2 linked regions of the Oryzias latipes genome follow. The protein of the gene in region 1 binds, or shares a complex with, the protein of each later gene. Links are inferred from orthologs where the notes say so. Each region holds a gene or a part of one and is shown on either strand. Other genes may lie near its edges.

What was found.
Region 2: the proteins of rab11a (region 1) and myo5b are in contact, whole or in part, in a crystal structure (PDB 4LX0), measured with the Homo sapiens proteins. The link is inferred for Oryzias latipes from reciprocal best matches to the Homo sapiens genes RAB11A and MYO5B. Residues at the interface, in NP_004654.1 of Homo sapiens: Leu11, Lys13, Arg33, Glu35, Ile44, Gly45, Val46, Glu47, Phe48, Ala49, Thr50, Gln63, Trp65, Glu71, Arg72, Tyr73, Arg74, Ala75, Ile76, Thr77, Ala79, Tyr80, Arg82, Gly83; in NP_001073936.1 of Homo sapiens: Ile1627, Gln1628, Gly1629, Leu1630, Trp1706, Met1710, Arg1713, Tyr1714, Ser1717, Gln1718, Glu1721, Arg1724, Gln1745, Leu1747, Gln1748, Leu1749, Lys1750, Lys1751, Glu1755, Ala1759, Leu1763, Tyr1779, Glu1786.

What each region holds. Positions count from the first base shown.
Region 1 is NC_019861.2:442,661-446,409, reverse strand, and holds part of rab11a (ras-related protein Rab-11A), read right to left. Parts: coding exon 3,616-3,749; intron 2,895-3,615; coding exon 2,814-2,894; intron 1,333-2,813; coding exon 1,196-1,332; 3' UTR 1-1,195. UniProt on the Homo sapiens protein: The small GTPases Rab are key regulators of intracellular membrane trafficking, from the formation of transport vesicles to their fusion with membranes.
Region 2 is NC_019870.2:384,209-387,857, forward strand, and holds part of myo5b (unconventional myosin-Vb), read right to left. Parts: intron 3,534-3,649; coding exon 3,377-3,533; intron 3,294-3,376; coding exon 3,150-3,293; intron 3,036-3,149; coding exon 2,954-3,035; intron 2,745-2,953; coding exon 2,637-2,744; intron 1-2,636. UniProt on the Homo sapiens protein: May be involved in vesicular trafficking via its association with the CART complex. The CART complex is necessary for efficient transferrin receptor recycling but not for EGFR degradation.

The DNA of each region.
Region 1 (3,749 bases):
CCATGTGAGCCGCGTCTCACCAAACCCGCCCGCCAAGCTCACCAGAAGAACGATTCATTCATTCATGTTTCAGTGGAATTACAGTCAATTACACAATTCAGTTTGTAAAAAACAAAAAAATCAAAGACAGTTTCAAACATAACATAAGGAGACAAAAGATCCGAATTCCTCCTCTACCGCCCCCCGCTGCAGAGTGGGCGGGCTCTTCCCTCAAGAGACGCCGTCTCTGATCCAACACACCGCATCCAACCGCGCCCGTGAGACCGGAATCCCCCCCGGACCGGGTTCTGCGTCAGTGGTGGCGATGTAAAGGCCAGATGAGGAAAGCAGCAGTCGGACAGAGAGCCATGCACTGCGTCAGAGGCAGCTCGGTGTGCGAAGGCGCTATTTGACGAGGGCGGAGCTTAGGCCAAGGTGAGCGTGGCTATATGAAAGGTCCAAAGATGGCAGAACAGAGGAAGGAACCGCCTCTGAAAGTTGTTTGATTCTTCAGCGATGTTAAAACAGTTCCAGGGCAGCAGAGACCTAATGACCACACGCTAAGGGAATCGACCCTGTGACACATTTCTCAGTGCTTCTACGAAAAGCTCTGTGGCTGCTTGATGATGGGAATGACGTGGATTCAAACATGTCTGTGGCTTTACCTGGACGCCTTCTCAAACAAATGGAAATGTGTTTGAACAAAGATGGACGGCTGAGGGGCGGGGTTTCTGTCCGCCGCCGCATAACATCGCTCTGTGGACAAAAAAACTGCTCTCCTCGGGAGATGGAGCCGAGTGCAGAGTGGTCACATGGTCACAGCTAAGACGCACAGGCTCCCATCAGTCTGTCTGGACGCTGGAGGGAGGGGGGCTAAAGGACACGATGGCGTGGGCTTTGTACAGAGCAGACAGAAACGATGAAGCAGGAAAGGAATCACATTCAGAGTTTAAGACATTTGTGTGACATGTCAGCGCACCTACACAGACTAACACGGTATGAAACGCCAGCTGTCCCTCGGGGGGGGGGGACCCCACACTTTGCTTTATACGTGGGAAGGGGAGAAGGGTAGGAGGGGCAGGTGGGGCTCAAAGTTCGGGTCCTGTCATGCCGAGCTGTGCGTCCGGGCAGTCAGTTCTCAGGGTGGGGGGGGGGCTTGGCTGAACGGACGGAAAAGGAGAAGAGGGGGGAGGAGTGGCAGCGGTTCCAGGCCCGGTTAGATGTTCTGACAGCACTGCATCTTTGGTTTGTTCTCGGTGGGCGGCACCTGGATGTTCACTACATTGTTGCTAGGCGACATGTCGCTCTCCTGGCGCTCCGACATCTGCTTCTGGGAGACGATGCGGTAAATCTCTGATGGGAAACACACACAGTCAGGTCCCACATCACATGTCACCCATTGAAAGGAGCAGCAGCTTCTACCAACACCTGCACAGGTCATAAAAACCCCGTCTACGCTCTGCCTTCATGTTGAAGTTCAGACTCCATCAGGCCAGATCAGTTGATACCATGACATGGAAATGTGGTACCTGTCATTCTTTATTTTAATGTCGTCTCAATGTCACCTACAGAAGATTGGGTCATTATGACCCACAAATCATGAAGGTCCTTCCGTTTCTGCTTCAGGACAGAACTCTGACACTGCAAAGACCATTTCTTTCCCACCCAATTTCTACCTTTGACAAAGAAATGATCAGTTTGCTCAAATGCCATTCTCAGAAATATGTCTCTTTGAAAGATCAGAGAAAACAAAACATTTCAAAATTTTAGATTTTATGTCCAATGGGGCAGGAAAAGTCCCTTTAATCACTTGTTCTCCCACTTAGAAAGATGAGGGAGGCCTGTGTCATAGGTCATAGGTCAAGCTCAAGTGAGAGAGAGCATGAAAAAAAAAATCCCATTAGCTGTTTCCATCGACAAGGAAATTAGGAAAATTGGAGAATAACTTCACGCCAGTTCAAAAACAACAAAACTCATTTATCAAAAACAAAGTTTGTGCGATTGGAGGAGGTGATTTTTAAGGTGTAACGAAATAAACATGATTGGTAAAACTGCAACGGAAAGACTTTTTTTCTAATTACATGCGTCACATGACCCACCACCAGATACACTGGCTCCTTTGGGCGCCGTACAGCGGCGCCATCAGAGGTCCCACAGCGTCACACATCATCAATAGTTGAGTGTGTCATGTGGAATTGTTGGATCCACAGCTCCTCTGGAAAATCACCAACCACCATTTCCCAGAATGGCTTCATCTGTAGCCCCTCCCACATTTAAGGAAAGAAGACGCCGACGTCTCCTTTGATAGATGATGATGAGCGCTAGCGCCGTGGCAGAGATGTGAATTTATCTGCTATAAATCAAAGTATCCGTCACATCCCTCGCCGTGTTTCTGAAGGACTGATGGCGTCAGTCGCTTTGTGTTTATTCACATGATTAGAAATGAATGGAACTCTGTGATTGGGAAATCATGAAAACACAGTTACAGAGACTCTGTTACATTAACCCAGTGCTTCTCAAATAGTGGGCCGCGCCCCGAAGCGATGCCGGGGGGGGGGGGGCTCGCGGTGGTGGCGGTTTATGCACAGGTAATACGGGCAATTTAGTGCTTAGTAACTATAGTTCCTTCCCACACATTACTGCTGCTGAACATGAACCTCTGTCTGACAGCACGCTCCAGTGTTTAGGACACAGTAAGGCTGTATATTCCATGGATGATCCCATTCACTCCTAAATAAAGCCTGAGATCAGCAGTCTGTCCTCCAGCCAATCCAGAAGCTCACGCCCCCCCTCCTCAGGCAGAACAAAGAGAAGATGGATGTAAACACACCAACCTGTCAGGATGGTCTGGAAGGCCGTCTCCACGTTGGTGGAGTCCAGAGCGGAGGTCTCCAGAAAAGACAAACCATTTTTCTCTGTGGATCACAAAAGGACAGGAAGTCGCTTTACTCCAACCTGAATTCTGGAAAAGTTTGCATCTCTTTAACGTTGATAGAGAGAAAACAAATATTTAACCCACAGATGGACATCACAGGCACTATGAACCAAGATATAATGCACTGGGGTAAAACGGGTATTTACTGCTTTCACTGATTCATGACAAAAGTGGACTAAGAATGAATCAGAGGAAGAGTTCTAAATCAGAAATGACTAGATAAGATTCAGCTGGAAGAACACAGAGGAAGTCATTTAGATCCAAAGATGTAGGTTTGTAGAAGCAGAGGCTGGTTTAGATGGAGAGAATTTCTCCACTCTGTCACGTTTTTTAGAGTCAATGTTCCTTCACGTCAAACCGTAAATCCAATCCTCCACAGAGCCCATTCTCACCAAAAGGTTCAGAGAAATCTCTGTGCATTGGGGACAAGGTCGATGACGGAGGCCGTGACTTTATATTGAATGCCCCACATCATTTCTAGAAGCATCTGCAGGTAAATCCAAACCTTCTGTGGATGGAATGACGACTATCATCAGAAGGAAAGCTCCATCTGAATACAGTCCAAAACTAAAACCGAAAGACGTTTCTGGACTTATCGTACAAGTCTCTGATCCGTCACATGGACCTCCGTCACCATGAAACCTACAGCTTTGGACAGAGAGTGACATGCTGTAAGAAAGAACCAACAGAAGGACTCTGACCAGCAAACGCCCGCGCCTCGTCTGTAGGAACGGCCCTCAGGTGGCGCAGGTCGCTCTTGTTGCCCACCAGCATGATGACAATGTTGCTGTCGGCGTGGTCCCTCAGCTCCTTCAGCCAGCGCTCCACGTTCTCG
Region 2 (3,649 bases), on another chromosome or scaffold:
AAACCCGCAACCCGGGTCTCTGCAGACCCACAGGAACGAGAAAACCGGGTCTCATCCAAAACCCGCAACCCAGGTCTCTGCAGACCCAAGAAAAAAACGGGTCTCATCCAAAACACACAACCCGGGTTTCTGCAGACCCACAGGAACGAGAAAACCAGGTCTCATCCCAAACCCGCAACCCGGGTCTCTGCAGACCCAAGAAAAAAACGGGTCACATCCAAAACACACAACCCGGGTCTCTGCAGACCCACAGGAACGAGAAAACCAGGTCTCATCCCAAACCTGCAACCCGGGTCTCTGCAGACCCACAGGAACGAGAAAACCAGGTCTCATCCCAAACCCGCAACCCGGGTCTCTGCAGACCCACAGGAACGAGAAAACCAGGTCTCATCCCAAACCCGCAACCCGGGTCTCTGCAGACCCACAGGAACGAGAAAACCGGGTCTCATCCAAAACCCGCAACCCGGGTCTCTGCAGACCCAAGAAAAAACCGGGTCTCATCCAAAACACACAACCCGGGTCTCTGCAGACCCACAAGAAAGAGAAAACCGGGTCTCATCCAAAACCCGCAACCCGGGTCTGTGCAGACCCAAGAAAAAAACGGGTCTCATCCCAAACCCGCAACCCGGGTCTCTGCAGACCCACAGGAACGAGAAAACCAGGTCTAATCCCAAACCCGCAACCCGGGTCTCTGCAGACCCACAGGAACGAGAAAACCAGGTCTCATCCCAAACCCGCAACCCGGGTCTCTGCAGACCCACAGGAAAGAGAAAACCAGGTCTCATCCAAAACACACAACCCGGGTCTCTGCAGACCCACAGGAACGAGAAAACCAGGTCTCATCCCAAACCCGCAACCCGGGTCTCTGCAGACCCACAGGAACGAGAAAACCAGGTTTCATCCCAAACCCGCAACCCGGGTCTCTGCAGACCCACAGGAACGAGAAAACCAGGTCTCATCCCAAACCCGCAACCCGGGTCTCTGCAGATCCAAGAAAAAAACGGGTCTCATCCCAAACCCGCAACCCGGGTCTCTGCAGACCCACAGGAACGAAAAAACCAGGTCTCATCCCAAACCCGCAACCCGGGTCTCTGCAGACCCACAGGAACGAGAAAACCAGGTTTCATCCCAAACCCGCAACCCGGGTCTCTGCAGACCCACAGGAACGAGAAAACCAGGTCTCATCCCAAACCCGCAACCCGGGTCTCTGCAGACCCAAGAAAAAAACGGGTCTCATCCCAAACCCGCAACCCGGGTCTCTGCAGACCCACAGGAACGAAAAAACCAGGTCTCATCCCAAACCCGCAACCCGGGTCTCTGCAGACCCACAGGAACGAGAAAACCAGGTCTCATCCAAAACACACAACCCGGGTCTCTGCAGACCCACAGGAACGAGAAAACCAGGTCTCATCCCAAACCCGCAACCCGGGTCTCTGCAGACCCACAGGAACGAGAAAACCAGGTCTCATCCCAAACCCGCAACCCGGGTCTCTGCAGACCCACAGGAACGAGAAAACCAGGTCTCATCCCAAACCCGCAACCCGGGTCTCTGCAGACCCAAGAAAAAAACGGGTCTTATCCCAAACCCGCAACCCGGGTCTCTGCAGACCCACAGGAACGAAAAAACCAGGTCTCATCCCAAACCCGCAACCCGGGTCTCTGCAGACCCACAGGAACGAGAAAACCAGGTTTCAACCAAAACCCGCAACCCGGGTCTCTGCAGACCCAAGAAAAAACCGGGTCTCATCCAAAACACACAACCCGGGTCTCTGCAGACCCACAAGAAAGAGAAAACCGGGTCTCATCCCAAACCCGCAAACCGGGTCTCCACAGACCCACAAGAAAGAGAAAACCGGGTCTCATCCAAAACCCGCAACCCGGGTCTCTGCAGACCCACAAGAAAGAGAAAACCGGGTCTCATCCCAAACCCGCAAACCGGGTCTCCACAGACCCACAAGAAAGAAAAAACCAGGTCTCATCCCAAACCCGCAACCCGGGTCTCTGCAGACCCACAGGAACGAGAAAACCAGGTCTCATCCCAAACCCGCAACCCGGGTCTCTGCAGACCCACAGGAACGAGAAAACCAGGTCTCATCCCAAACCCGCAACCCGGGTCTCTGCAGACCCACAGGAACGAGAAAACCAGGTCTCATCCCAAACCCGCAACCCGGGTCTCTGCAGACCCACAGGCTGACATCTGAGGATCAGTCGAACTCCTACCAGTTCTGTTCAGACAGAATGGAGTTTACATTGAAATCGTTTGGATCTGATTTAAGGTGGTATGAACGTAAATGAAGCCGTGAGGTCACAGCGCAGGAACCAAATGCGGGTCAGAGGGCGGAGTCAGTGTTTATGACACGAATGATTCCTTTAATGAAGCTTCATCATCAGAAGAAACATTCATAGAAAAATGACAAGGAAAAAACCATTTAGCTTCCTTAAGTGATCCAACATGGAGATCAACATGTGATCACTTCCCTTCAATGATCTCTGGCTTCTTTCTTTGAACGGTCTGGAGATTGACTGAACATTCTGACTTTTACTGGTTTTTCTTTGGACCCACGTTTGTTTGTTGTGGCCTACAAGTGCCAACATGTGAGCAACAGCGCCCCCTGCTGTGCACGCTCTGTTCTTACCTAGTAGTGTGAAGGCCTCTCTGGTCTTGCAGAAGTCTTCGGCGTCGTTCACGCCTTCGATGAAGATGTTCTCTCCTAGAGAGGTGTAGGTGAAATCCTCTGCGCTGGCTGGGGGGTGGGGGTGGGGGTGACAATAGAAGGTCAGATGATGCAATACCGTTCCTGTCAACGATGTATGACCTTAGCTTCTGTATTAGGACAGGCTTGGAGCTTAATCTATTTCTCATCTTCCTCCTCATCCTGTCTCTGCCTGACCTCTGACCTCTGTCAGGACCTCCGACAAGCAGAGCAGAGATCTCCACAGCTGTAGGACTCACTGAGGCCGAGGTCTTGGAACTCCGGCAAACTGGCCGAGGCACAGAGCTGGTAGAAGATGTGATAGTTCCTCTCCTCCTCTGCCTGCAACACCAAAGACAGAGTTCAGCAGAGATCCCTCCTGGATCCCTTCAGGATCCGTCCCGGATCCCTGCGGGATCAGCAGTTATCCCCTCACAAACCAGGCCACAGACTCACCTGGAAGACAACGCGAGACTTCTCCAGCAGGTAAGTCCTCATGTTGGCACCGATGATGTGGTAGTGTCTGCTGAAGCCGATCTGGATGTACTTCCCAAAGCGGCTGCTGTTGTCGTTCCGCGTGGTTTTGGCGTTTCCAATGGCCTGATGGGAAAAAGGTCAGGAACGGAGACATTTATGGCGTTTTTCCAAAAGCAGCCACCTGCAGGTGGAGCTGGCGTCCTCACCTCCATGATGGGGCTGGAGGCCAGAACCTTCTCCTCCACACTGGTGTCGGTGGAGGAGCCGCCCACAGTGGCGAAGAACCTCATGGCATACTTGGCAGACACCGTCTTACCGGCGCCGGATTCTCCGCTCACAATGATCGATTGGTTTCGCTCATCTCTACAAAAGCGCCACAGAAAAACATTGTCAGGCAAGTCTCAGGTGACACGACTGACTCACCTGATGGAGCCACGTTAACACTTGACCCAAAAAGTACAACATTTTATTCATGCCAG